3 linked regions of the Elephas maximus indicus genome follow. The protein of the gene in region 3 interacts with the protein of the main gene of each other region in a pairwise test. Links are inferred from orthologs where the notes say so. Each region holds a gene or a part of one and is shown on either strand. Other genes may lie near its edges. The genes, in order: CYGB, KLHL42 and DDI1.

Evidence for each region.
Region 1: the proteins of DDI1 (region 3) and CYGB interact in binary tests that used the Homo sapiens proteins (3 or more experiments, as listed by UniProt). The two-hybrid records come from large-scale screens. The link is inferred for Elephas maximus indicus from reciprocal best matches to the Homo sapiens genes DDI1 and CYGB.
Region 2: the proteins of DDI1 (region 3) and KLHL42 interact in binary tests that used the Homo sapiens proteins (3 or more experiments, as listed by UniProt). The two-hybrid records come from large-scale screens. The link is inferred for Elephas maximus indicus from reciprocal best matches to the Homo sapiens genes DDI1 and KLHL42.

The regions. Positions count from the first base shown.
Region 1 is NC_064837.1:66,753,450-66,764,506, forward strand, and holds the start of CYGB (cytoglobin), read right to left. Parts: upstream 5,246-11,057; 5' UTR 5,221-5,245; coding exon 4,907-5,220; intron 1-4,906. Other genes in the region: photoreceptor disk component PRCD, read left to right, coding at 7,808-7,881, 8,260-8,328. UniProt on the Homo sapiens protein: Probable multifunctional globin with a hexacoordinated heme iron required for the catalysis of various reactions depending on redox condition of the cell as well as oxygen availability.
Region 2 is NC_064822.1:86,558,186-86,568,398, forward strand, and holds the start of KLHL42 (kelch-like protein 42), read left to right. Parts: upstream 1-6,074; 5' UTR 6,075-6,613; coding exon 6,614-7,485; intron 7,486-10,213. UniProt on the Homo sapiens protein: Substrate-specific adapter of a BCR (BTB-CUL3-RBX1) E3 ubiquitin-protein ligase complex required for mitotic progression and cytokinesis. The BCR(KLHL42) E3 ubiquitin ligase complex mediates the ubiquitination and subsequent degradation of KATNA1.
Region 3 is NC_064825.1:16,532,086-16,540,930, forward strand, and holds DDI1 (protein DDI1 homolog 1), read right to left. Parts: upstream 3,510-8,845; coding exon 2,295-3,509; downstream 1-2,294. UniProt on the Homo sapiens protein: Probable aspartic protease. Seems to act as a proteasomal shuttle which links the proteasome and replication fork proteins like RTF2. Required, with DDI2, for cellular survival following replication stress.

The sequences.
Region 1 (11,057 bases), on a different chromosome or scaffold from region 3:
CCTTCAAGACCTGCCCCAGTCATAGCCCAGAGGGCAAGAGCTTGGGTTCTGGATTTACAGGCCTGTGTGACCTCAGACAAATTATTTAATGTTCTGAGCCTCAGTTTCCACATCCATAAAATGGGCATCTTTGTTCCTATCTCATGGGCTCTTGTGAAGATTAAATGAGAAACTGCATGCAAAGTCCTCATCAGAGTGCTGGACACATGGAGGCCCTTACATAGCAAGGTCACCTCGTTCTTTATAAGCAAAGAAAGGGCCCAGTCACTTGGCTAAGGCAGCTCAGTCAATGAGGGGAAGAAATGAGATCCAGCCCTCCTCCTCCCAGCTCTTCATCACCCTGCTCCCCTTGTTAGCCTGATTGGTTGATTTAATTAAAGATAACAATTGATTTTTACCTGCCTTACGAAGCTCTCTAATTACTTCATGTTGCAAAGTCTTCCCTCCCCAACGAGTCTGTGAACTTGGAGCAAGAACAGGTCTTCCTAGCTCTTGCCTCTTCCCTCTTTAAACCAAAACCAAACCTGTTGCCGTTGAGTCGATTCTGACTCATAGCGACCCTACGGTTTATCTTAAATTGTCTAGTTTCCCTAATATACCACTTTCATGAGGTTGCTCTCCTGCTCAGGAGCAGTTAATGACTCCCACTGTTTACCAAAGTCAAAACTCAACCTGAAATTCCAGGTTTCTTACAAACTCTCCCGCACACTCTTTTCCAGCAAGATGTCCACATTCTCCCTACACTCCAGGCATCTCCTCTTCAGCCCAACAGCTTTGCTCACTGTTAGGAAAACATCCCGTGCGCTGGTGTCCTCGACACAGGGTGGAGTGCCTTTCTTACTCTCTCTCCCTTGAAGACTTGCCTCCCCTGTCCCTGCCCAGGCTGGCCTGGTCGACTGCTTTTCCTCCAGGGCATCTGTCCCTTTCAGGTGTCCTTCCTGCTGCTGCCGCTTGTGTCTCAGACTAGTTACCACAACCCCAGGGCAGAGCCCAGGCCTCGTGTCCCCGACCCATGACCCCAGCCCAGGGTCTGGAGTGACATTAATGACATTGGCACCTCTCTCCCCACCGGGCCTCCTGTCATGTGAGGCGTATGCAGGGACTCAGTCAGAACTTACATAACTTAACTGAATCCTCAGAAAATACAGAGAGTGTCTCAGACCTGTTATTTCAGGCCGTTTCACACCTTTGGAGTGTTCCCCTTTGTGATCAGAGTTGATAATTTGCTAAACCAACCCTTTGGCCAGGACTCTGATCTGGGAGCTGGAGCAGATGCAGAGAGCATGTGGCCTGGGCTGTCCCTTCGGGTGACAAAGCTGCTCCTGGCAGGGGAGATTCGGACAGTGATCTGGGCTCAGTCCATGTGGAGACCAGAGAGGCCCCCCTCAGACGCTGAGTATGACCCTGGACAAACCACTTCACAACCCATCTGGCTGCAAAAGACAGGAGTCCCTTCAGCTCCAAACTTCACAAATGAGGCAACGCGTCTGAAAATGCACGGGATTGTTCTGGAGATGCATTGTAAAAGCTATAAAACCAAACCCACTGCCGTCAAATCGATTCCGACTCATAGCAACCTTATAGGACAGAATAGAGCTGCCCCATAGCGTTTCCAAGGCTATAATCTTTATAGAAGCAGACTGCCACAGCTTTCTCCTATGGAGCAGCTGGTGGGTTTGAACCACTGACCTTTTGATTAGCAGCTCAGCACTTAACCACTGCACCACGGGGGCTCCTTTAGAAAATAATAGTAACAATACAAAAAAAAAAAAAAAAAACCTGTTGCCATCAAGTAAATTCCGATTCATAGCAACCCTATAGGGCGGGGTAGAACTGCCCCATAGGGTTTCCAAGGAGCGGCTGGTGGATTCACCCTGCCGACCTTTTGGTTAGCAGTCGAGCTCTTAACCATAAATAAAAACATTTATTGAGCATGTACTGTATGATCTCATTAATCCTTGCAATACCCTTCTGGGGGTGGCACTGTCTTTCCCCACCATATTGTTGTTACGTGCCTCCAGTCAGTTCCGACTCATAGCGACCCTATGCACAACAGAACAAAACATGCCCAGTCCTGCGCCATCCTCACAATCATTGTTATGCTTGAGCTCATTGTTGCAGCCACTGTGTCAATCCATCTCATTGAGGGTCTTCCTCTTTTCCGTTGACCCTGTACTTTACCAAGCATGATGTCCTTCTCCAGGGAGTCTCCCCATCTTATGAATTAGGAAATTGTCACCCAAGGTGGCCCAGTGAAGTAGGCGGTGGCACTAGGAACGACCCAGAGAGCCCCTGCTTTACAAGATGCTGCGCCAGGGGGATCATTGCCTGGGACCCAGGCAGATCTCCTGCCTCCACGCCCAGCACCGCATATATGGGCTTGAGCAACGACAACCTGGGAGTCCCAGCCCAGGGCCCCTCACTGGGCCATGGGAAGCTGGGAGCCACGAGCTCTGCCCCTTCTCTCCCCTGTGCCTCTACTCCTGACCCCCCAGCCCAGCCTGTGCTGTCAGGGAGAAGCTTGGGGAGAAGCCAGTCTTGGGGAGTTTCTCAGCTCCCAGAGGCATCTGGACTTCCAAGAGAGCCAGAAATAGGCTTGTCTGAGTGTGAGGGGGAAGGTGTCAGAGTTACAACTGGGAGGGGAGCCTTCACAGAGCATGGGTGTTCCCTCACTGCCCCCTCCTCCCAGGCAGGGAGGTGTGGGGTCTGACTCAGACCCCTAAGGCAACTCCTCCACCTCTACCACCTTGGCTGCCTCCTCCTTGGCCTGCGGGCTGATGAGAGCTGAGGGCACTGGCCAGGCCTTGGAGGAGTGAGGGGTCAGAAGGTGTGTCTCAGGCTCTAAAGGGGCCTTGCCCTCCTGGATGTAAGGGTGATGAGGGAGTTGTAGCAAGACAGGGGGATGAGGACAGGAGCAAAGGATCTGGGGAGGGGAGACCCCCCCCACCAGAAGCTCATCAACCATGCTGTCAACCCTCCCACCCTCCCCACTGGCCAGGCCCTGGGCAGCCAACAGGAGACAGAAGAGATGGAAGGTGGCAGGAGGCATTGAAATGGTCCACACAGGGGTGGGGTCAGGTGAAGTACATGGGGGCGGGGGTGTCAGCAGGCCCTTTCTAATTAAGACTTGCCAGCTCTCTTCCGCTTTCTGGGATTAATGCAGGACCTCTGAGCACTTTGGTAAACACCCTCCAGCCCAGGCCCAGTCTCCCCTAAGAGTCGGGAGTGGGGAACTCAAAGGGGGTGTAGAGAGAGACAGGAAACCTTACCAAGGACTTCACTATCCAGATACAGCCCCGCCCTCAGCGTGCAGTCCCTTCTCCTGCCTCCCACCCCCTGCTCCACTCCTGGGGGCCTTCAGTGGTACCTCAGGAGATGGATCTTGGACCTGTCCCCTATCTGTCTTCCCTGGCAAATGGCAGGAGTTGAGACAAATGATCCCCAGAGGTCCTTTGGGCCTCTTCACTCTGGGGCCCTTGCCTTGCACAGGGCCCCCCACGAAGGCAGAGTGGTGTGTCTGCAACTCTGCTCCCCACTGCGTGTGGGGTGCTCACACGTGCGGGGCTGCATCTCTGGTGTCTGAAGGCTCCACAATCTGAATCCCCCTCTCGATCCCCACTCCCAGCCTAGCTGGGCTCCTGGGCCTGGGAGGACTGCGTGGGTTGCCCACATGGCTTCCCCCTTCCTCAGGGGCCTTCCTGAGCTCTTTTGAAGTGCTTCTCACTCCTTTTCCCCTAAAACTGTGTCTAAGTTGGAATCAGGGCATATCAGTATGGAGCTGGGTAGGTCCCAGGCCGCTTGGGGGAGGTGGAAAGAAGAGAGTGAGTGAGGGGGAGAAAGAGGAGCTGAAGTGGGGCCAGGGGAAACAGGGTATGCATTTCAGCAAGGCTTCCCCCTTATTTTCAAAGAATAAGACTGCCCTGCTCTGCCCCATATTTGAGGCTCCCCCTGCCAAGGACAGGGTGTGAGGGCGACCATGGGTGGGAGTCTCTCCGCCTGCACCCCAGGGACTAGCCCGTGTGGGAAGAAGGCACTGGTGTGTAGCTATTGTGCTTGGCTAGCTTGTGGGGCTTGGTGACATTAAGTATATAGGAATGGGGCGTGCGGCTGATGTGTAGGTGTGTGAAAAACCGTGTCACCCTATGTTTTTGGGTCCCTGAGGGGAGTGTGGTGCCTGAATGACCCCTAAGCCCAAGATAGGGTCTTTCCTCCCTGGGTAGGGGTTTTGGGCTGGGGCTCTGTCTCCTTCCACCCAACTCAGCGGGACTGTACCTGGAGGGTCTGGGGGCTTCTCCACTCACCTGTGCCTGGCCTCCAGCTCCCTGCTGGCCCACCCGCTCCAGGCTAAAAGGAGCAGCTGGGAGCCCTGGACCTCAAGATCTACTCCTGATTTCTGCTCCCTTGATCTTTGCTCTACTCTTCCACGAGGCTTCCAAAAGGGGCTGAGCTGGAGAGAGGGAGCTGCTCCCCTTTGCCCCTGTTCCTGGCTGAGACTCAGTATTCTCATCTCTAAAATGGGAGACCCGGCTAGTCCCATCTGAAGCAAGAGTAATATGTGTATGGGTGACGGCTGGGCTGGGTGGTCGGGTGAGGAGGTCGCTGGAGAGGAGGCACTGGCTGCCTGGGCAGGAGTTCTAAGACCCAGGAGAGAAGGATAGAGATGCTCTCCTTCCGCGTCCAGTTCCTCGTTCCTGGGGAGCCCCGCGCCCTGGAGCCAAGAAGGGCTCAGCCAGCACTTCACCCACCCCAAGGCAACCCACGCTGCCCGAGCCTCACCGGCCTGGCCTGGCCCCAATCGCAGCTGGGGAAGTGGCGATGGAGCTCGGACCCGGGCCGAGTCCGTCCGTGCCCGGAGCCGCTGCCGCGCTCCCTCTCCCGGGCCCGCCAGGGCCAGGGCGACACCTACCTCACCAGGATGGCCACCCCCACGTCCTCGCAGTTGGCATACAGCCGGGCCCACGTCGCCTGCACCGCCTTCCTCTCTGCCTCGGACAGCTCCTCGCTCCGCTCCCTGCGCTCGATCTCCATCTCGCCCGGCACTTTCTCCATGAGCAGCTGCAAGCCCAGCCCGGCTGGCTCGGCGGCGGCGGGGCTGGGGGCGCGGGGCCGGCTGCGTGCGCGGCGGGCGGGCGAGGGGTAGAGCGCGCCGGAGGGCGGGAGCGTGTCTGTCTGTGTCTGTGCGCGCTGGGCGTGAGTGAGTGAGTGAATGTGTGTGTGCATGTGTGTGTGTGTGTGTGTGTGTGTGTGTGTGTGCAGGGTATATGTGCGGGGGGCGGGGGACCGCGAGCGGGGGGCGGGGATGTGGTCTGGTCTGCAGGAAAAAGCCTTAAAAAAATAAAGACGCTCCAAATCCCCAACCGCGTGTCGCCAGCCAATTCGGGCAAGGTGAAGGCTGGGCGGGATGGGGGCGTCGCTGCTGCCGCCCGCCCTCCAGGCCGCCGCGGAGTTGGCCGCTGGGTAGGTGTGGCCGGTCTGCCGAGGGTCTCCGGAGCAGGGGGCGTTCACGAGGCGCGGGGAGGCGCCGAGCGCACAGAAGTGAGCCCCGGGGCGGGTGTGCACGCTTCACAAGGCCGGGCACTGATTCAAAGTCAAACACTGCCAGGCGTTCGCGCCGGGTCGCCCACCGCCGGCCCGAGGGACGCACACGAGCCTCCCCGGCAGCGGCCGCGGTCGGGGCTTGGCTCGCCCTCGTTCCGGGCCTCTCCGGATCCAGCGCTGGGCCCACGCGGACCCCGGGCCCCTCAGGGTTTAGGACTACTGCTGCAGGGATGGGGACGGCTGTCGGAAATGGACCACACCTCGGAACCTGGCCCTCAGAGGCCTGCGCCCCCTTTCCTTCCGACTAACACAACCCCCCACACCGCGGTGCTGGTGGACAGAGTCCGAAGGAAAGGCAGCCGGCCGCAAAGAGCAGCAGGGGGTCGAGAAGTCTTGGGGGAGGCGTCATTGCTGGAGATATCTCACCACCACCACCAAGGCCCCATCAGGGAAGGTCCTGGTGGGCCCTGCCCGGGGAGCAGGACAGATAAGGTGTGGGTGAGACTGGGCCAGAGTCCCCGGGTGCCCACCTTGTGAAAAGTCACTAGTGCTGGGGACTGCCAGGTCCCACTTCTGGCTGCAGGGTCTGAAATGGATGCCACAGCACTGGGCTGTGCCGTCCTGCCTGAGGCACCCTGGTGACCCTTGTTTTTCGCAAGACTGTATTCCGCAGCCTAAGCATTGCAAGGGGCTGGCTGCTCCTTTCAGTTCTGGTTGTGTTTATTTTTAAAATCCTGTTTCCAGGTAGAGAACTGACAGGTGCAGTAAGCACGGGCCCAGGCCTTTCGAAGCTCAGGGTCTGCTTACCTTAGTGAGAGTCCGGGTAGGAGGCCTCCAACCCCAGGAGAGGGGAGGAAAACCCAGTGCCTTCCGAGGAGTCTGGGAGGGGGTGGAGGAGAGGGGTGACTCAGGTTCTCAGATGGCTCTCAAACCCATGCCCTCCTCTCGGGCTGGACAGCCATGGCCATCTCAGGCCCCATGTTCCAGGCGGTGCAGGTCTGATAGTTTCCCAAAGCTAGCATGTTGGCCTTCAAGAGGATGTGGAAAGAAAGTAGAGCTCTTTCTATTCATTTTTAGCTCATCCTTTACAAATTTTATGTATGTTTTATGATATAACATATTTGCACAGTAGGAAAGTATATAACTTATAATACCAAACCCACTGCTGTTGAGTCAATTCTGACTCCTAGTGATCCTATGGAATCCCTGATGGCGTAGTGGTTGAGTGCTACCGGGACTAACCAAAAGGTCAGCAGTTCAAATCCGCCAGGCGCTCCTTGGAAACTCTATGGTACAGTTCTATTCTGTCCTATAGGGTTGCTATGAGTCGGAATCGACTCGACTGCGATAGCTTAGTGACCCCACAGGACAGAGTAGAACTGCCCCGTAGGGTTTCCAAGGCTGTAAATCTTTACAGAAGCAGACTGCCACATCTCCCGCACAGTGGCTGGTAGTTTCGAATCACTGACCTTTCAGTTAGTGGCTCAGCTCTTTAACCACAGTGCCACCAGGGCTCCTGATAAGTGGATGCATATATCTGTTTTGTGAGTGTACTTAAATTCCACCTTTTACTGAAAAGATGTGTCATCAGAACAGTTCAGAGAGGACTGTCCAGAAGATGAAACTGGACCCTGAGCTAGACGCCTGGGGCCCCTTGCTCTCTCACGTCTTTCTGGCCTTATCTAATATTCTCTTCCTCCTCCTCCCTGTCCCGAGGGCTCCACTGGGACACCAGTGTTCCCCCACCGGTCCCCCACACCACTCAGCTTCCAGTCCTTTCCTCCCCAGCCCTTGCAGATCCTTCTAAGGCCATCCTTCCTGGTTCACCTGTAAGTTAATGTGCCCCCAGCTCTTCTCGGGAGCTTTGCCTGATGCTTGCAACTCCCCGAGTGCTCTGCAGGTACCTTTAATAGCACCTCTGTCACTCTTGTAGGCATTTGTTGAACTTGACAGTGCAGTTGTCTAGACTGTTGGCCCCTGGAGGGCAAGCCCTGTGTCATTTGTATTAACATTCAGAATAGGTGCTCAGTGTCTGTTGAACGCATCGACTGAGGTGTGTTTACTCTGCCACTCAGGGAGGACCCTGGGCCCAGTGAGGTTAATCAGGCCTCACAAGGTCTGGTCGGCTGACCTGGCTAATCAGCTTGAGTTTCCTAATCCATCACCACCAGGAACCTTGGCTAGAGAGCTCGTCAGAGCTGGTGGGGGCCATTTTGGGCCCTCACGGAGGCCTTCTTCTGCAGGCAGGGTTCTGGCCTGGGGGTGGGGCATGTGCACCACCCTCTTCCTGCTGAGCACCTTGGCCATGCTCTGGCGCCGCCGATTCGCCAACCGGGTCCAACCGTGAGAAACTGCCGGGCCCATGGGCTGGGGCAGGGGTGGGGAGGAAGGGCTGGGCTGGGCTAGAGCCAGCCTGAAGGTGGCCAGGGGCTGCCTGGGCTCCAGGGAGGTTGGGAGGGTACTGGCCAGGAATCCCTGAGAGGCTCACTCTCAGAATGGAGACAGGTGGAGGTGCGGAGACTGGCGAACCAGGAGAACCGGAGCCTCTCTGTGTCTCAGCTTCTCTCTTAGTCCTGGAATAGGAAGAGGGGGCGTGGGGTTCTTGGAAGGCACTAGGGCCGAGGCCTCCAGTCCCACTGCAGAAGGTGGTGAGGTCTTGGAGAAGTAGGAGAGAAGGCGTGGGTGCTGGCACAGCTCTGCCTGCTGTTCTTCCTCCCACAGAGAGCCCAGCGGTGTGGACGGGGCAGTGGTGGGCAGCGGCTTGGAAGCTGACCTCCAGGCCTCAGGCAGGTAAGGCAGGGGAGAGGTGGGTGGGGGAGTAAGGCTACTGCAAAGGAAGCTATGGTGGCCCTGCTTGGGGTGCACACGTGGTGTATGTGTTCATGTGTGTGTGAGTATGTGTGTGCGTGTGTGCATGTGTGTGTGTACTGTATGCTGTCCAGGAGGTACAGGCCCCTTGCCCCAGTCACCCAGGTCCCTGTCTGCCTGGTAGGAAGGCTGGCTGTTTTCTCAAACTGGGAGCCCCAGCCCCCACTGCTGGACCAAAGCTGCTCTCCTTGCTTGTCTGATCTGAGCCGCGCACCTTCTGCTGGAAGGGGCAGGGGCGGCAGACAGAGGGACAAGGCAGATGCCTCTCTGCCTGGCTTTGCTTGCCTTCCCCTTCCCCTCCCCCATCGCCTCGACCTGCCCAGCCTCAGCGGCTCCACTGCCTGATCCTCCAGCCGGATTCGCTGTCCAGTCCCCAATGGAAGGCACAGGAGGAGCATGACATCATCAGCATCAAGCGCCATTGGCTGGTTGGCCCCTGCCGGCAGGACCAGGTCTCCTGTGGCCGGAAAATTAACTCTTCCCTGGGATGAGGCCATGCGGCCTTTGGGGGTGAAGTCTGGGCAACTTACAGGCTTTTCTGTCCCTGGGTGACCAGTGTTTTCTTGGATAGGGGCTCCTGTGGCCAAGAAATCACTGAAAACCCAACTCATATGCATTAAATAGGTGTCAGATGTTTTTTATGGCCTGTAGACCCCCGGAGAGTGGATGTCTGTCTGAAGAGTGACGTCACCTTATAAGCAAGTGTCTACTAGGCCCTGGGCATTTCTTCTTTACAGAAACAGAACAAAAATGATTACAGGCCCCCCTCAGGCTGCAGGGCCCCTTGAAGGAGGGTGTCCCCACACAGGAGCTCCAATGGCTGGGATGGTCGGCCCGCACGTCTGTGAACACCCGTGTCTCTTCCTGGGTGGGGAACCCGCCACAATGTATCCCTTAAATCTAAGGCCAAACCCGTTGCCATGGAGTCGTTTCCGACTCACAGCGACCCTATAGGATAGATAGAACCGCTCCACAGAGTTTCCAGGGAGCAGCTGGTGGATTCCAACCAAGCTTTTGGTTAGCAGCCAAGCTCTTAACCATCATGCCACCAGGGCTCCAATGTATCCCTTCCCAGAAAGCCCAGTGCCATCGAGTCGATTCCTTTAGAGGTACAGAAACTGGCCAACCAGGAGAACTTGAGTCTGTCTCCATATCTCAGCTCCTCTCTTCTCGGTCCTGGGATTCTCCAGTTACCGAGTGTCAAAAAGCCCCAGGGAGAAGCCCTGAACATGTACGAGAAACAGAGGCAATTCAGGAATACCCTTCCTCTCCACGGTGCTGTCGTTGTTAGTTGCCATCTAGTGGATTCTGACTCCTGACGACCCCATAAGTGCAGAGTAGAACAGCTCCAGTGGGTTTTCAAGGCTGTGACATACCCGGAAGCAGATCACCAGGTCTTTCGAGGCACCTCTGGGTGGGCTGAAATCTCCAACCGTTTAGCTAGTAGTCAAGTGCTTAACCATGTGCACCACTCAGGGACTCCAAGACTATCATAACAGTGCCTAACTGAGGCTAGTAATTAAATGGGCTGACACCTATAAAATAACCAACATTGGCTCATGGACAGGAGGCACTTGAATGTCAAGTTCCGCCTGGAGCTGGGCAGCCAGAGTCCAAATCCTGACTCCCCTCTAACAAGTGACTTTCGGCAAATAATGTAGCCTTGTTATATATATATGGAGCCCTGGTGGCACAGTGGTTAAGAGCTATGGCTGCTAACCAAAAGGTCGGCAGTTCGACTCCACCAGCCGCTCCTTGGAAGCCCTATAGGGCCATTCTACTCTGTGCTATAGGGTCGCTGTGAGTTAGGATTGACTTATAATGAATTTATTATATATATGTTAAACGGGGTTAATAATATAGCCTTATTATATGTATAGTAAATGGGATTAGTAGTGTAGCCTTATTATATATAGAGCCCTGGTGGTGCAGTGGTTAAGTGATACAGCTGCTAACCAAGAGGTCGGCAGTTCAAATCCACCAACTACTCCTTGGAAACCTTGAGGGGCAGCTCTACTCAGCCCTATAGGGTCGCTATGGGTTGGAATTGACTTGACAGCAACTTTTTGTTTGTTTGATTTTGTATGTGTTAAATGGGGTTAATAACAGAGTGGTTGTGAGGATTAAATGGGACATCATCCTTGTTAAGCACGTGCCACAGCATCTGTCAGTTTGTAGTGCTGTGGTGGCTTGCGTGTTGCTGTAATCCTGGAAGCTATTTCAAATACCAGCAGGGTCACCCACGGTAGACAGATTTCAGCAGAGCTTCCAGACTAAGACAGACTAGGAAGAAAGACCTGGAGGTCTAGTTATGAAAAAAAGATCAGCCAGTGAAAACTTTATGGATATAGCAGCAGAACATTGTCTGATAGAATGCTGGAAGACGAGCTGCTCAGGTTGGCGACGACAGGCTCAAACATAGCAACAAGTGTGAGGATGGCACAGGACTGGGCATTTAATTCTGCTACACACACAGTCGCTATGAGTGGGAACCAAACGGATGGCACCTACCAACTGCTCAGTAAATGTGTACTATTCTGGCTGCAGTTTTATACGTCATTAGTGTTTTATTCAGCTCTTTTACTTCATCATGTCTTCCTTTAGCTTCAGCTACTCTACATTCAAGAGCAAGTTTCTTTTCTGTCTTATTA
Region 2 (10,213 bases), on a different chromosome or scaffold from region 3:
CATTGCAGGTCTTCCCCTTTTTCACTACCCCTCTACCAAGTATGTTGTCCTTCTCCAGGGACCGACCCCTCCTGATAACATGTCAAAGTATGTGAGATGAAGTCTTGCCATCCTGTCTTCTAAGGAGTATTCTGGCTATATGTCTTCCAAGACAGATTTGTTCATTCTTTTTGTAGTCCATGATGCATTCAATATTATTCACCAACACCACAATTCAAAGTCATCAGTTCTATATCTGGTCTTCCTTATTCATTGTCCAGCTTTCGCATGCATATAAAGTGATTGAAAGCACCATGGCTTGGGGCAGGCGCACCTTAGTCCTTAAAGTGACGTTTTTTGCTTTTTAACACTTTAAAGAGGTCTTTTGCAGCAGATTCGCCCAATGCAATGCATCATTTGATTTCTTGACTGCTGTTTCCATGGGTGTTGATTGTGGATCCAGGTAAGATGAAATCCTTCACAGCTTCAGTATTTTCTCCATTTATCATGATGTTGCTTATTGGTCCAATTGTTGAGGACTTTTGTTTTCTTTGTGTTGAGATGTAATCCATATTGAAGGCTGTAGTCTCTGATCTTCATCAGTAAGTGTTCAAGTCCTCTTCACTTTCAGCAAGCAAGGTGGTGTCATCTCCTTAACACAGGTTGTTAATGAGTCTTCTTCCAATCCTGATGTTCTTCATATACTCCAGCTTCTTGGATTAGTTGCTCAGCATACAGATTAAATAAGTATGGTGAAAGGATACAACCTTGATGCACACCTTTCCTGACTTTAAACCACACAGTATCACCTTATTCTGTTCAAAGGACTGCTTCTTGATCTATGTACAGGTTCCTCATGAGCACAGTTAAGTGTTCTGGAATTCCTATTCTCCCCAATGTTATCCATAATTTATTATGATCCACACAGTTGAATGCCTTTGCATAGTCAATAAAACACAGGGAAACATCTTTCTGGTGTTCTCTGCTTTCAGCCATGATGCTTCTGACATCAGCAATGATATCCTTGTTCCATGTCCTCTTCTGAATTCGGTTTGAATTTCTGGCAGTTCCCTGTCAATGTACTGCTACAACTGCTTTTGAAAGATCTGCAGCAAAATTTTGCTTTCATGTAATGTTAATGATATTGTTCGATAATTTCCACAGTCAGTTGGATTACCTTTCTTTGGAATAGTCATAAATATGAATCTCTTCCAATTGGTTGGCCAGGTAGCTGTCTTCCAAATTTCTTGGCATAGACAAGTGGGCACTTTCAGCACTGCTTCCGTTTGTGGAAAGATCTCAACTGGTATTCCATCAATTCCTGGAGCCGTTTTTCTCCAATGCTTTCAGTGCAGCTTGGACTTCTTCGTTCAGTAGCATTGGTTCTTGATCAGATGCTACCTCCTGAAATGATCGAATGTTGGTACAGTGACTCTGTGTATTCCTTCCATCTTCTTTTGATGCTTCCTGCATCTTTCAGTATTTTGCCCATAGAATCCTTCACTTTTGCAACTCGAGGCTTGAATTTTTTCTTCAGTTCTTTCAGCTTGAAAAATGCCGAGCATGTTCTTCCCTTATGGTTTTCTATCTCCATGTCATTATAATACTTTGTCTTCTCAAGCTGCCTTTTGAAATCTCCTGTTCAGCTCTTTCACTTCATCATTTCTTCCTTTGCTTTAGATACTCGATGTTCAAGTGCAAAGTTTTAGAGTCTCCTCTGACATCCGTTTTGGTCTTTATTTCCTATCTTTTTAATGACCTCTTGCCTTCTTTGTGTGTGATGTCCTTGATGTCATTCCACAACTCATCTGGTCTTTGGTCATTAGTGTTCAGTGTATCAAATCTATTCTTGAGATGGTCTCTAAATTTAGGTGGAATATACTCAAGGTCATACGTTGGTTCTCATGGACTTCTAATTTTCTTCAGTTTCAGCTTGAACTTGCATATGAGCAATTGATGGTCTGTTTTGCAGTCAGCCACTGGCCTTGTTCTGACTGATGACATTGAGCTTTTCCATCGTCTTTTTCCACAAATGTAGTCGATTTGATTCCTGTGTATTTCATCGGGCAAGGTCCACATGTATAGTTGCCATTTATGTCATTGAAAAAATGTATTTGCAACAAAGAAGTCGTTAGTTTTGCAAAATTCTATCGTGTGATCTCTGACACTGTTTCTATCACCAAGGCCATATTTTCCAACTACCGATCCTTCTGTTTCCAACTTTTGTGTTCCAATCATCAGTAATTATCAATGTATCCTGATTGCATGTTCCATCTATTTCAGACTGCAGAAGTTGGTAAAAAATTTTAATTTCATCTTTAGCCTTTGTGGTTGATGCATAAATTTGAATAATAGTAGTATTAACTGGCCTTTCTTGTAGGCGTATGGATATTATCCTATCACTGCCAGCATTGTACTTCAGGATATATCTTGAAATGTTATTTTAGATGATGAATGCAAAGCTATTCCTCTTCAATTTGTCATTCCCGGCACAGTAGACCATATAATTATCTGATTCAAAGTGGCCAATTCCAGTCCATTTCAGCTCACAAATGCCTAGAATATTGATGTTTATGTGTTCCGTTTCGTTTTTGACAATTTCCAGTTTTTCTAGATTTATACTTCATACATTCTGCATTCTGATTATTAACGGATGTTTGCAGCTGTTTCTTTTCATTTTGAGTTGTGCCACATCAGCAAATGAAAGTCTGGAAAGCTTGACTCCACTCATGTCATTAAGGTCGACACTTTGAGGAGACAGCTCTTCCCCAGTCGTATTTTGAGTGCCGTTTTTTTTTCCAACCTGAAGGGCTCATCTTATGGCACTGTATCAATGTTCTGTTGCTATTCATAAGGTTTCCACTGGCTACTTCTTTTCAAAAATAGACTGCTGGGTCCTTCTTCTGTCTTAGTCTGGAAGCTCAGCTGAAACCTGTCCTCCATGCATGACCCTGCTGGTATTTGAACACTGGTGGCATAGCTTCTAGCATCACAGCAACACACAAGTCCCCATAATAAGACAAACTGACAGACGTTTGGAGTTCAGTTATATACAAGCAATATTTTCATGAAGCCTGGAAATAATATTTTAGATCTTTTTGAATACAGAAGTTTATATTGATTTAACATTGCATTTCTAGCTTAACAGAAACTTACTGTGTGAGTTAATAAGATACTATCATTTTTTAAGATGGCCCCAGTCCTAAATGACATTATTATCTTTTCAGGAACCAAAAAGCTTTCAGGATCTGGTCCCTATATTGTCAGGCTAACAGCCCAAATTCCTTGTCCAGGCTTATCTTGCCCCAGTGCTATTATTGTAGTTGAAGTGCCTTTGTAATGCAGATCATTCTTGGAGTGTGATTTTTTTTTTTTGGGGGGGGGCATGGTGTCTGTTTTACAAAGACAAGAAAATACCGGTCAGAGGCATATCTATGACAGTTGGGAGACAAAAGCATCCATTGGTGAAAGATTCTAAAGGGACAGAGGAGAGACTAAGAGTCTGTTCTTCTTGGCTGACCTGCTGAATTGAGGCCCAAATAAGCCCAAGCCTCTTAGCTATGGTGAGGGTGGAGGGGGACCTCCCCTCCCCACAAAAGCCCCAAGTCTACTGCCTAATATTGCACTTGGTCCTTTGCAATTTCAAAGCAGTTGCGAAATGCATGGTCACTCACCCCCTTAGAATGTCTCAACTACACCCTCATTGAGAACAGAAGAGTGAGAAGTAGTTGTGAGAATGGTGTTTTTATCAGTATGATTTAAAGGGCAGGTGAAACAAGGTGAAGAGCGGGATGTTTTCAAAAGAATCTAAGAAAACTGTTTCCTTCATTTTTCCCATGTGGGCCAGGATCTACTAGAATTCTTTTCTGTCTTTTAAATGTCAGTTTCCTTGTTCATGGTGTATTATAATGAAAATAATGGATGTCAATACCTCACTATAAGGCAGCTAAATTACATGATAAGAAGCACAAATATAACCAAATAGTATGCTAAAGAATTTCATGTTTTACTAATATGACTTTGCTTTCTTCCTCTATTATTTTACCATCCCCCTGTTCCTAACAAAATCAGCATTGTAGGATGTGCATTCTTTTTGGAATAGGGAAAATATACTTTTGAAGAAGATATGACTGAACAACTTGTCAAGTTGAAGCTTGTAATTAAAAAAAAAAATTTATGGCCCTTTTGCAAAATAATTCTGAGATACTTTTTTATTATGATGAAAAAACTTCATTTGTACACAAAGGCATATATAAGAGAATAGTTTAATGATGCCCAAGAACCCATCACCCAGCTTCAGTATTATCAATATCTTGTCAATTTTGTTTCTCTACCTCCACCACTTTTTTGCTTTATTTTAAATTAAATCCCAGAGATTATTTCACTGATATGCACCTTTAAGTTGCAAGATTTTTTTAAATTTAATACCATGTCATGCCATTATTACACCTAACAAAATTAGTAAAATTATTACTGCCTTAATACGTGATACATTTCTAATCCTTTTCTGTGCTCTGGCTGTGCAGCTAATTCTGTGGCTGATGGAGCTCTGGACCTACTGGCAAAATGGAGGTTCCAAGGCAGGCACTGCCTGTTTATCTTGTGAACTCAGGCAGGTCACAGTGTCTCTTCTAGTTCCTCATCTGTAAAATGAGGGACTAGATTGGGTGGTATTTAAACTTCTTTCTAGCTCAGTGATTCTGCCAAAATACAATTGATAAGTATTAATGGCAGAAAATATCAATCAACAGAATATGCAATGCAAGAGGTTTTGGCTAAGGAAAAATAGGTTTATAATTTGGTCCTAGTTTTGGTTTTTCAGTGAAGAATTGAAACAGCTTGGTTTCCGCTGGTAATTCCTAATCATGGAAGTGAAAATCATATTGTAAAACTTAAGAAAAAGTGAGGTGACAGCACCTCACCTAACGTGATACTTATTCTAATACGAGGAAAGATCCACTATGAAACAAGTGGGGTGGGGTGGTGTGGGTTATCAACAGCTCCAAGTGAGCTTTCCTCTTCCTGACATCAAATGTTAATTTGCCTCGTAGGGGTTATCTTCTGTTTGTAGTAGGGGAAGTAGACTTGGAAGAAGATATTGTTTAACAGCTTGTCCTTCAAGAAGAAATTTAAACAATGTCCAATACTATTTTTCTCACATTGAGAACTATTATAGCAGGTTCTCAAATCTTGGTCAAGGGTTCTTTGTAAGATAGAGTAGGCACACCCTTCTCCTTTCCTTCTACCCAAAGGTAACAACGATATTTTTTCCCTCACCCCCTCCTTTTCAGGGATTCATAGCTCATGAGCAACACAAGGGTCCTTTTTATTAATTGGGGTGAACTTTTTATTTGTTCAGTGAGAGAAGATGGGGAATAGGTGGTTTCCCCTTAAGTAGTCCTCAGACTTTGGGGGCCAGGGTGAGACAACTGGTGATAAGAAAAGCCACCTCTGTAGGTAAATATGAGTAAAAATGGCCAGGCCTGATACCCAAAGATAATATTTCATAATGGCTAGCCCAACCAAGCTGAAATAGGAAAAGCAATGACTATTAGAAAATATTTGGTAGAAATAATCTATGATAAAAAAAAAAAGAAGGCACGTGTGACCTAACTTTATTTAGTTGAATTGTACTTCAGTCTTTTTTTCTTAATATCACGAAGAAGATAATAGGGTCCCAGAAACACAGATCATCCAGTGCACTGTGGACCCCATGAACTGAGCCCTCCAGAACTCGCAGCCATCTGCCTGGGCCTTCTGCAAGATGGCTGCTAAATGATGATCATACCTAAGCATCAGCTCTAGGTGCCACTGACATGTCGAGAGATGACCTGTGTGCCTGAGCCTTCTGGGACACGATGCCAAACTGGGCGAGATGATGGACCCCAAACATTATGTCTTTGACCCCATGGATCCCACCCCTTCATCTTTTTCCTGCCACATCGCTTCTTTCTCTTCCCAGTCCCCCCCATAAAGTAGAAGGGAAGAAAGAAAAAAAAACAAACTGGGTTCATCTTTCCTCCTTTAACACTCAAAAGCATCATTCCTGACACTGGCAGGGGGCAGAGCCCGTGCGCACCAGGCGTGCCGAGGAGGCTGCGGGGACGCGCGCCCTCCAGGATCCTGCCGCCTGCGTGTCAGCACCCCGGCGCTGAAGGCCTGCAGCCTTCCAGCTCTCTCCGAAAGCCGGATCCAGTTCGCAGGTCTAGCGGCTTGCAGGGGTCCTGCGGGCGGAAGTGAGAAGGGAGCGTGGGAGGAGGCTGCAGGCTGGGGGTTGGGATATCCTCCCTGCCTGACACCGCCCGGGAGCCTCGGAGCGAGGATTGCGGCCGCCTTCCGATGCCTGGCGGGCGGGAGCCGGGCCTTTTGTGTCGCTACGGGTGACAAGGACAGGACCGCTGCTTTGGGGGAGAAAGTCTGAATCGTAGCCTCCGGGCACTGAGGAGGGACTCCCTGGGGGGCTTCGCAGTGACCCAGTTAGGCCGGGCGAGCGCGGGAGCGGGCGACCCTTCGCCTCCCTCCTCCCGGGCCGCCATCCCTCTGCGCGCCCAACCCGGAACCCCGCGAGTGCGTGGGGGCGGGGAGGAGAGCGGCAGATCTGGCGGGACGACCCTCAGCCCCCGGCCTCCCAACCATGTCCGCCGAGGAGGTGGTGCAGATCCGCCTGGAGGACCGCTGCTACCCGGTGAGCAAAAGGAAGCTCATCGAGCAGAGCGACTACTTCCGCGCCCTCTACCGCTCCGGCATGCGCGAGGCCCTGAGCCAGGAGGCCGGCGGCCCCGAGGTGCAGCAGCTGCGCGGCCTTAGCGCCCTGGGCCTGCGACTGGTGCTGGATTTCATCAACGCCGGCGGGGCTCGCGAAGGCTGGCTCCTGGGCCCACGGGGGGAGAAGGGCGGGGGGGTAGAGGAGGACGAGGACATGGACGAGGTAAGCCTGCTGTCCGAGCTGGTGGAAGCAGCCTCCTTCCTGCAGGTCACGTCCCTGCTGCAGCTTCTGTTGTCCCAAGTACGGCTCAACAACTGCCTGGAGATGTATCGCCTGGCCCAGGTGTACGGGCTGCCTGACCTGCAGGAGGCCTGCCTGCGCTTCATGGTTATCCACTTCCACGAGGTGCTGTGCAAACCCCAGTTCCACCTTCTGGGGTCTCCTTCTCAAACCCCAGGGGACATCAGCCTCAAGCAGAGGCTGAGGGATGGCCGGATGACTGGGACTCCGGTCCTTGTGGCCCTGGGGGACTTTTTGGGGGGACCCCTGGCCCCGCATCCGTACCAGGGTGAGCCCCCATCCATGCTCAGGTACGAGGAGATGACTGAACGTTGGTTCCCGCTGGCCAACAACCTTCCTCCTGACCTGGTGAATGTCAGGGGGTACGGGTCTGCCATCTTGGACAACTACCTCTTCATAGTGGGCGGGTACAGGATCACATGCCAGGAGATCTCTGCTGCGCATTCCTACAACCCTAGCACCAATGAGTGGCTCCAGGTGGCCTCCATGAACCAGAAGAGGTAAGCACTCCAGTAGTGTTGCTTTTTTTCTCCATTCATTCATTGTTCGTTAATTCATTCCACTAATGTTTATTGGGCAGTCACAGGAGATGGTGCTGAGGTGGAAATGACATCTGTTTCTGGCCTTGATTCTGTCCAAGTTTCCAATGAATTAAGAACTTGCAAGGAAGAAAAGGCCCCAGTAAAGTAAACCAGCTGAGTAGTTTTCTTGTAGGTATTGCGCCTTTAGGCAAAACTGCTTTCTTTGCCTCTATCCTAGTGGAAAAAAAGATGATGTGATTTCCTAGATTTCCTAGGATACTTTATAAGAGAGCTGCTCTTTAATTTTGCCTTTTTTTTTTTTTTTTTACTTTTTTAGGATTGTGTTTGTAGTGACACACTGGCCAGTAACCTTTAAGGCAGGCTTTGAGGGTTTTTTTTTTTTTTTTCCTTATTAATGACTTAGAAGCCTCCCCTTTGGGCGTCAGTCCATCCATGATCAGGAGATAATCTTTAGAATTTTATTTTTATTTGCTATATAGGATTGACTTTTATAATTTTATCCTTTTTTGCATCTTACTTCCTTCTCAGATAGCCATCGCCATTGACCCAAAGATCGAGCCTTACAATGGTCACCTACAGAAATGGAATGTTTCCATCCATCCCAACCTTCTCCCTTCCCATCCTGCATATCCCTCCTGCCATGAATATGGGTAACTTGAGGAAAAAAAGAAGGAGTGTGGAGGGGGGGTGGTGGTGATGGTGAGTTGGGAAAGGAACCAGGACAGGAATAGGAAAAATTAGAGTAAAGAGCAGATAAAGAAAGAGGTCGTGGGAAAGAAAGATGGTAGAGCATAAAATGGTTCAGAGCCATTCAGAAATGGGAGGAAATCGTGTAACCCAAGAAGGGATAGGAATACCATTTCTTCTGGTTCACCACCCGTTTACATCTCAGGCCCAACCATGATCCCTACCCTGAAGTGCTGAGCAAGTGAACTCACAGAACCAGGCAAAGAAAATCTTAACATGAATGGGAGGCCTTTATATGTATTTGGAGTTCCTGGGTGGCACCAATGCTTAAGTGCTCAGCTACTAACTAAAAAGTTGGTGGTTCGAACCCACCCTGAGACACCTGGGAGGAAATATCTGATGATCTGCTTCTGAAAGGTCACAGCCGTGAAAACCATATGGAGCACAGTTCTACTCTGACTGACGTGGGGTTGCCATGAGTTAGAACTGACTGACAGCAACTGGTTTACTTTTGTTATTTTTTAAGCACGTATTTACTGGATTGAGGATTCTTCCAGGTCGGAGATTATTTGGGGAACAGCCTTTATTTCTACTTTAATGTAAAATTGATTTTGCAAAGTATTCCTTTTTTCCGATGATGAAAGGGATGGGTATTCTCTGTCACCTTTATCACACCCATCTCCAGCTCTATGATAAATCTGCCATCCCCAGGTTCATAACTAACACAGCACATTTTTAGTAGCTGAAAAATAATAGCTAATATTTAATTTAGCACTTATTCTGTCTAGGTACTGTTGTTGGTACTTTGCATGTATTTGTTTTTATTGTACTTTAAGTGAAAGTTCACAATTCAAGTCAGTTTCTCATAAAAAAACTTAAACACACGTTGTTATGTGACCCTAGTTGCTCTCCCTACAGTGTGACAGCATACTTTTCCTCTCCACCCTGTGTTTTCTCTGTCCATTCAGCCAGCTCCTGTCCCCCTCTGCCTTCTCCTCTTGCCTCAGAACAGGAGCTGGCTACATAGTCTCATGTGTCTACTTGAGCTAAGGAGCGCACTCCTCACCAGTATCATTTTATGTCTCATAGTCCAGTCTAATCTTTGTCTGAAGAGTTGGCTTTAGGAATGGTTTTAGTTCTAGAGAGTCCAGGGGCCATGTCCTCTGGGGTCTCTCCAGTCTCAGACCATTAAGTCTGGTCTTTTTATGTTAATTTGAGTTCTGCATCCCACTTTTCTCCTGCTCCATCAGGGATTCTCTGTTGTGTTTTCTGTCAGGGCAGTCATTGGTGGTAGTTGGCCACCATCTAGTTCTTCTGGTCTCAGGCTGATGGAGTCTGTGGTTTATGTGGCCCTTTCTGGCTCTTAGGCTCATATTTTCCTTGTGTCTTTGGTGTTCTTCATTATTCTTCACTCCAGGTGGGTTGAGAACAATTGATGCATCTTAGATGGCCACTTTACTCTGCATGTATTCATCTTGCTTATTCTTCACAAGGATTATATTAGGCAGGTTCTCATTTTACAGAGGCAGGAATTGAGACACAAAAGTTAAGCAGATTGCCCAAGGGTGTGTAATAATTTGAGGAACCAATATGTAAATATCTATTGAATAGATGTAACCATTTATATTGTTTACAATTTTTAGCTTGTAGACTTGCAGTGACCGTCTTCTTGCAGATTATTTTTTCCTTTTTAAAAATTATTTCCTATTCAAGAAGGGGAGCACAGGTATTTGAGGGTACTATACTGCTTTTTAAAATTTTATGTGCATAGGCTTCACCACAGCCTTTATGTCCAACATTTGTCTAGTCACTGCTAAGTGTTCAGAAACATGTCATGGCTCCTGCTCTCAAGAGGTTTCAAGTTGGATTAAGGTGAAGAGACAAGTAAAAGTGGAACCTAGAATGAGATTGTTTCTGGGTAATACATCCAGTACAAGTCCCACCCTGGAGAAAGCTTGGAACCTTGGATTAGAAGGGCAGGTTCTAGCCTGCAGTTACA
Region 3 (8,845 bases):
ATTGAGATGAAGGCAGGATGGGTATTGTTGAACTGAATAGCATTTACGCTGTCTTTTAGTTGAAAGACTCTGATTTTTAGACTGGCTCGTATGTACCAGACGTCCTGATAGGCTACATGCTAAGAGTTTATTTGATATTGACCGGACTCATGTAATATGCAATTTGGAGTTTTGTTTGTTTGCTTATATGGACCTTAAAACTGAGTCCAGAAGAAGATATCAAGGGTTTACACATATTTTTTCTTGTAAAGAAATCCATGCATTCATTAGGTCAGTTCTCATCAATTCATAGGCATTTTGTTTATCTCTGGCTTTACTCTGAATTTTTTTCTTCATATTGGTAATTACATTGTCCGAATCAGAGTACTTCATTGGAAACAAAAGTAGAAAAGCACTCTGTCCATTTGGTCATTGTTAGCAGCTGTGCTGGGCATAAGCCCTGGTGCAAGGGTAGACCAGGTTAGGGAATGTGAACATAGGCTATACCTCTCAGGAAGAAGAAAACTGGGACATGAACTGAGAATGGCTGGAGGGGAACAGGTGTCTCTTTAGAAAGAAAGTGATTAGTCTCAGGAAGAAGTGGACCAAGAGAAAGATATTATTATAGGGAAGCTTTTTTTTTTTTAAGCCATAGAGAGTGCTTCCAGTGGCTATAGATCTTAGGAAAACAGCTGGAATGACTGAAAGGGTATTTGAGATGAAAAGATACAGTCTTAGTACTTGAAGGTGCCTTTTCTTCCCAAACAATTTACAGATGAGGAACCTGAGTTCTAAAATATGTGAAGTGATATGCCTAAGTAACATAGAACTAGTACTGGAGCCCTGGTAGCACAGTGGTTAAGAGCTCGGCTGCTAACCAAAAGGTCTGCAGTTTGAACCCACGCCCTGGCGGTACAGTGGTTAAGTGGTCAGCTGTTAATCTAAAGGTCAGTGGTTGGAGCCCGTCAGCCACTCTGCTGGAGAAAAGTGTGGCACTCTGCTTCCATAGGGATTACACCCTTAGGAACCATATAGGGCAGTTCTACCCTGTCCTGTAGAGTTGCTGTGAGTCAGAATTGACTCAATGGCAATGTGTTTGGTTTATTTGGTTTATCAGAACATATGTTTCATGTCTTTGAATCCACTGTTGTTTCTAATACCAGTCTTGATAAATTATGGCCCTGAAACATTTGCCCTGAGTCTGAAGACCTCAGGCAGCTGAACCTTTTCTCTCAGGTGTATTAACCACGGGTTGTAATTAAGCCTAGGCTCCTCCATTTCTCACTACCAGTAGTAATGGAGAGTAGCCCTGTTGGAATGGATCATGGAGGTGAACGAGGCATTAGAGATCTTCTCATTCAGAAGTTTTCAAATGTTATTTTAGCAGTTAAACTCTTTTTTCAAACCTCTTACATAACTGCTTAATATATAAAGTAGATTTTTTGAAAAAGGAGTTGGTCTAATATTGATCTAGTATGAGTATTGGGGCACTTGGGCCACTGCCTGCCTGCTGCACCCCATTTCCAACAGCATGCAACCGGCAGGTTCCCGAAAAGCACCATAATTTGGGAAAAAAAAAAAATCGAATTCAGTGCCTTCATTTTATAGCCAGGGTTTCTTCGTACGCAAGGGAAAGAGAAAATTATTTTAGGAGAAAAATCTGGAATATGGCAAAACTAGCTTGCAGGGTGGGCTGCAGTGAACTTGCTATAGAAATGACTGACTTCAGGGAAAGGAAAATATAAAATAGGAAGAAATGGGGCTTTATGCTGTCCAAATCAGAGTTACAAGTATTAACAACTCAAAAGTATAACTGACCCACCGTTTCTAATACCTTTCACACACACAAAAAAAAAAAAAAATCTGGGAAAACAGACGTGTTTCTCTGAATATAAACAATCATTAGAGGGAATATGAAATAGTTTTGCTTAGATGCCTTGTAGGGTCTGTAGCAATGGCTTTTTCCAGGAATTCTGCAAAATAGCAGCTGGTTTGGACAAGCCACCTTTTAATCTGCTGGGATAATGTCTCTAAAAGAAAAGGCTGGTTTTCCTTTTCATGGATTATCTGGAAATCAACTGGAGCCTCCAGAGCCTTCCCAGTATGAGGTTCCGTGACCTCTGGATAAGGGAAACGGAAGAAGGGCCAAGATAAAGCAAGTACGATTTACATAATTACAGGTCTCAGAACTTAGTCCAGAGGCCAGGTTTAGTTGTTACTGATGTTTTTAATGGTTACATTGCCACTGAGCTCATTTCTTATAATTTCTTGGGACCTGAGACAGCCTCAAGGTGGTGATACATTTACAACCTGCTTCAGTGCCTTTTCCGTCCGGAATCCGTGACTGATTTTTTAATAGGATCTGCTACTTCCTTGTCAGAAGACTCCTCATGCCCAGTATCACTTACCAGCTTAGCACATGGTGGTAACTCTCCCTCAGGAAGAAAGAAAGTCTGTGTGCCAGTGGTACCAATCACCAGCATGTTTTTCTTCAAGTCAATGGAACATTGGTGTCTTTTGAGCATATCTAGTCCTAGAAGCATGTCCATGGGCTGCTCCTCGAGTACAGAGAAAGAGCATTGTAAGAAATCACCTTCAATCTGAATCTGAGCTAGATGAATGCGGCCAATAATTCTCTGTGTGCCCACTCCTTTAGCAATCCCAGCCCATCGTCGGTCCACCAGCCTTATTATGTTACATCTCTCAGCACAAGCTCGGCTCATAATGGTCATCTGTGCGCCTGAGTCAACAAAAGCCTTCAAAGGATGCCCATTCACTTTGCAGTTAATATAAAGCATTACCACTTGTGCAAAACTCTCGGGAGCCTCTTCTATTGCTATATTCATGTTTTCCTCGATGTTCTGCTGCCGGATTTCTTCTTCTATTTTAGCCTGAGCTTCCAGATCAAATGGATCAGCAGAATAAAGGCGAAGCCTCTCTTGTTCTCTCAGAGCCTTCTCCCTTTGCTGCTCCATCAGGACCTGAGAAAAGGTCTCTAGGTTTCCACTGAGCAGAGCTTCTGCCAAGCGAGGGTTGCGTTCTTTCAGCAGGGACAGATCATGGGGATTGGAAAGCAGCATGCTTCGGATCAAGGCTGGGCTGTCCAGACCTTGAGAAGATACCATTTTCTCTCCGGAAGCCAAGCTTCGGGCCTGCTGGGCTGTTTGTGCACGTTGTTGCTGCTGCTGTTGCTGGTACTGCTGCTGGCGGGAGCTGGATGTTCCAGGCACAGCTATCCCACTTATATCTATTCGAGGCTGGTCTGGTGTTCGTCCTGGAGGCCGAGGTTCCACATTCTCCTTCTGAAGTAAGACTACAACATCACCATCTTTTAGGCCATAGGAACCTAGGGAACAGTGGTCATCAGCAAGGAGTCGCTCCATATAGATTATCTGGGTCTCATCAGTAGGGATGCCAGACTCAAGCTCACAGAGCACCCGGAAGTTATGAAGCTCAAAATCAGGGCTGACCTGGAGAGAGAAGGTTACCTCGGAGAGGTCCCTCCGCACACAGTACACAGTGATCAGCATGGCACGGGCCCGGGAGGGCCACGTCGACAGATGGCATTGGATCGTTCACTGGCTGACCGGTCTCCGTTGGTGAGCCACTGCTTCTCACGACTTGGCACTGCTGCTCAGGCTCCTTCACCTCTCCAAGAGGCACAGCCACTCACCAGCCTGGGGACCTCGTCCCAGCTTCAGTGCCTGCTGCTCAGGCCCATGGAGCCTTGGGGTAGCTTGTTGAGTTCCAAAGTTCATTTGTAGGTGTGCTCTTTGGAACTTAGAATGCCTATTCCCATAGACACAAAGTTGCTCAAGTCCGTTGGGTTCCAAGGCCAGCCCTTAAAAGCCAATTGAGGATATGCTATGGAAAAGATTATTTCAGCTCTTCAAAAACACTTTCACGTTCATTTAATTCTAAAACTTTTTTACGTTCTTTTCCTTATTCCCTGCATTGTTTCCAACAAAATAGATGTTACCTTATGTGCTTGATACGAAAGATAAGCCAGACTCGATGCCTGCCCTTGAGGATCTCACATCCCAGGGAGGGATTGATGGGTAAATGGGTAAACCAAATAATGGGGTAAGTGCTTTTACGAAGATGTGGTCATCTTGCTAAAGAAACCAGTAGATCAAAGTAATTTTCTCTCAAGAGGACATACTCAAATTGGAGGATGAAGATGACCATTTTCCAGGTGAAAAAGTGGTGAGCCTCACTCCAGACAAAAGGAAATGGGTGTATAAAAGCAAGAATTCATGGCAAGGCATGAATTCTTGTTATTTCCGGAGAAAGATGAGAAAAGTAATAGGAGGAATTTGTACATTGAATGGCAGGATATAAAGCAAGACCCAATTTATATGTGAATCCAAGGATTTACATGTCATCAGTAAGCAAGAATCCCCCCTGTATTTATAAAAGAGAAAGGAAAGCAAAATATTTGAAGACGGTACTTACAATTGAGTTTTTTTTTTTTTTTTAATTCATCTAAGGAAGACATTTCTAATGATATATGGAGAATCCAGGGTGGCAGAAGGCCCAGTTAAGGGGCTTTCTCAATAGTTCAAAAAGAGAGCTGTTGCTAAAGTCTGAAAAACTGAGGATGACTAAATTGAAGCTGTGGGGAAGGGAAATGTTTCCTAAGTAGAATGGACAGGATTTGTTGACACATTGGGTATGGGGAATGTAAAGGAAGCAAATTGTATGGATAAGAGAGGGTCTCTAAAATGGGATACTCGTTAGAAACAGTCACTAGGTGGTACGGTTAGTGTGCTTGGCTGCTAACCAAAAGGTTGGCAATTTGAGTCCACCCAGAGCTCCTCAGAAAAAAGACCTGGCGATCTACTTCCAAAAAATCAGCCTTTGGAAACCCTATGGAGCACAATTCTACTTTGACACACATGCGGTCCCGATGAGTCAGAATTGACCCAATGGCAACTCGTTTGGTTTTTGATTAGAAATAGGTGTGGTCTTGAGTGGGCAAGTGAGATGAACCTTTGTGGTGATCAATCTGACATTGATTCTGCAGTAAAATGAAAGGTGAATGCCACACTGGAGGCCAGATATGGTTCTCTCTTTGACCCTGGGGCACAGGGCTTCCCTTGTTCCTACCAGAGTAGACTCAGGGTAAATGGTGACTGGATGGAATTTCCTGAGTGCCACTTAATTTTCTCTACATTTCCTAAAGTGTTTATCCTGACTCAGTTTTCCCAAGTGTAATCACTTATGGAACACAAGCCAGTCAACATCCTCTGCCTCCTTGCCTTTCCTTATTTCAAATTTTGTCAGAAAGGATCTGTCGTCCCATATAGGAGAGCACTGTATCAGTTTAGGGGATTTTTTTTTTTTGCTCCTTTTTCTCACATGTTTGACATCTTAGATGGAAGAAGGTGTCTCACTCCTTGCTGTAATTGTCATACTTCCATATTCATATTCATTTATATTAGAAATGTTGAATGAGTGCCCAGTGTGTGTGAAGCATGCGCTAAGTGTACCAACATGAATAATGTACACACAGGCTGTGTCCTTAAAGGAGCTTATGGTGTAAAAGAGGAAAAGTACACACACACACTTGAAATATTAGGGGGTGAAAAAAACCACAGTAGAGGCCTGTACTGTGAAGGAGAAATTTATAATATCTGGAGAGCAAATGAACGAGATGGTGAGGGCTGTTGGACAGGGAAGGCTTCTTGAAAAAGCTAGGCTTAGAAAGATGCCAAGGAGTCAGCCAAGTGGGTCAGAGTTGGCGTGGAGAAACCCAAGAAACCTGCCAAGAAAAGTATGTATGGCCTGACTTTGAGCCTTTAACTGGAAAGGCAGCTCTTCATGATACGGGGGTTTTATACAACTTGGGGGAAGAAATCTAGCATTGTAATTTTCCTGAAGAAAATTGTAAATTATTTTAAAAAAAATTATTTATTTCCCACTATTTATAGAGATGAACGGCCCTTTGGCCCAATGATATTAAGTTATTAAATTTCTTGGCATCCTGATAAGTTCAGCAGACATCAGTAATGGTTTCTTCTGAGTTTGGAAGCAACTTTAATGTGAGCGATACCACATGTAAATCCCTGAGCTAGAGAATAGATGAGATGCCAGCGATACTTGGATTTAGTGCTACGTTTCCCTCCCCCCACCCCCCAGTAGTTTTGAACAGTTTGTTCTTAAAACCTTAATACTTAGGGAGATAATACAAGGGTGTTATTTTTTATTTTTTAAGTAGTGGATGAAATTAGTTTTATAGAATAATTTGGGGGCAAAACAAGAATTCAGGGTTCACATCAAAGTAACATCTTTTTTTCATTAATATTAGCATTGCTTTGTTACTGAACATAATGGAACTTTTTGCAATCTTTTTATTATCTTCTGGTAATTTTTCACTTTTGATGGCATTTTGCATCAATGTGCTTTTTTACTATTTTACTCTTAGAGCATAACATGGAAAGAAGAAAACCTATCTGACCAATTAACTGTCATCATTTCATAGATCACAGGGCGTCAGGACTGGGAGGCATCCTTCTCATCCTCAAGTCTTGTTGCGAAAGAGTCTGGAATCTGAAAAGATAAACACGGCTTCCTGGGGCTGTTGAGCGCTTCCCATTATGCGTTGTTTTCTCCTTTCATTTTACTCAGTACTAGGCATGGGGTCGCTATGAGTCAAAAATCGACTTGACGGCGCCTAACAACAACAACACTGGTGATTCAAATATCATATGTATAATTCTCTTACCTCAAAATTTTAATAAGGCATTTCTTCTGATTGTATAAAAAAAATTGGGGATTACTGGGCCATATACACTGAAACCTGTGAGAGCTGGAACTCAGCAGGGCTGCCTTGTTTTTCTGGGTCTTGCAAGTTTTCTGCCTTTGACAGGTTGCAGTCTTACCACTCTTCTAGTAATCATTTTAGTGGAAAATATTTGCGTTTTCCTCCTCTGACAGGTTTTTGCCTTACACAGGTTCTGGCTTTTGCAGGTTTTACTGTGTAAAGAAATATTCCTAATCATAAAATGTTGTTGTACCATAAATCCCTATTGCACAGATTGCTGAGAAAGGAGTGATCTGAATTATCCGGGTGTATTAGCCTTTTTTTTTTTTTTATTAGTCTAAGGAACTCAAGATTATTGTGACTTTTCTTAAGGAGTTCTTTGTGAAGTATATTCTCTTATTTTCCTTCCTTGGTAAGTACAATATAGAAACATAATTGAATCTTTCTTTGAAAAGTGAGACTCCTCAGGGTCTCGGGCTATCATTCAGAAAACCAATTCTCATTGTATAGCATAAATGCCGAGAAAACAGAAGAGAAGGCTCTGATCTCATGCTGGCCAGGGAAATAACCTCGAAGTAATTTTTTTGGAATTAATCCATAATAATACCTTTTATAATTTGTCTCCTTATAAAGCTTAATGTGGCAAAAAATCCAGATAATTGATGGTTCTACTTATTAGTCAGTTAAAGCACTGTCTGTTGCTTTTCAAAGCAAAATAAGTCTTTTCTATGAAAAGCTGGAGAAGCCGATAAATGTCATTGTGTAACATATACAATAATTAAACTACGTTAAGAACTACATTAGCTTGCTATGTGCCTGGTATTTCTTTTAAAATAAGGTGTAATTGAGATTTATTAAGATAGTTAAATCAACACTTGAGATTTTAATTTTAACTTAGGAAAGAGGCAGAATTTTTAAAGTCGTATGCTTAGGTTAAACAACTAATTTTCTTACTCTTCAATTATTTGCTTTGTAACAATGCAATAAATTATACCAGAGTTGCCATGAATGGATAGCATTTATTTCTATAGATAGTTAATTATTTCTACAGATAGTTAATTATTTAACAGGTACATTAAAAATAGTGTAATGAAAGCTTAGTCTTAAAACCTTAGTAAGTTTTTTAGTATGTTTCCAAATTTTCCCATATGAGAAGGTTTAGTATTGCTTGTCTTTGAAGCTTAAACATCATAAGAGCTGTTAAATAAATATATAAATAAGCAGATATGTAAATATATAAATGAGCATATTTTTGCTTTATTTTATAGATTATTAGTTCTAACATGTCATGACAAAGATGCATATTCAGGTGCATATTGAATGTTGAAAATAGTATAACTTTTGGATTATGTACTTTCCAAGTCAACATATACACGTGTGTATGTGTGCATTTACTTATTTTTCAAAAAGTTAATGTTATAATTTTATGCCTGTCTTAGTTACCTAGTGCTGCTGTAACAGAAATACTGCAAGTGGATAGCTTTAACAAAGAGAAATTTATTCCCTTGCAGCCTAAGACGCTTGAAGTCCGTGTTCAGGGTGCCAGCTCCAGGGGAAGGTTCTCTCTTTCTCTGTCAGCTATGGGGGAAGGTCCTTGTCATCAGTCTCCCCCTGATCTAGGAGCTTTTCATCGCAGGAACCCTGGATCCAAAGGATGTGCTCTGCTCCCAGTGCTTCTTTCTTGGTGCTATGAGGTCCCGCAGTCTCTCTACTTGCTTCTCTTTTATATATCAAAAGAGATTGACTCAAAACACAACCTAACCTTGTAGATTGAGTCCTGCCTTATTAGCAAAACTGCTGATAATCCCACGTTATTAACATAATAGAGGTAGAATTTACAACACAAAGGAAAATCACATCAGATGACAAAATGGTGGATGATCACACAATACTAGGAATCATGGACTAGCCAATTTGACACATTTTGGGGGGAACACAACTCAATCCATAACAATTCCCTATAGTCCCTTCCAATCAGGGCTTTACATCTTTTCATTCCAGTTTGACTCCCTGCTGAGAGTTTGCACTTCTGCCCCAAACCAAAAAAAAAACTCATTGCTGTCAAGTCGAGTCCAACCCACCTACCCCAATGCCACCAAG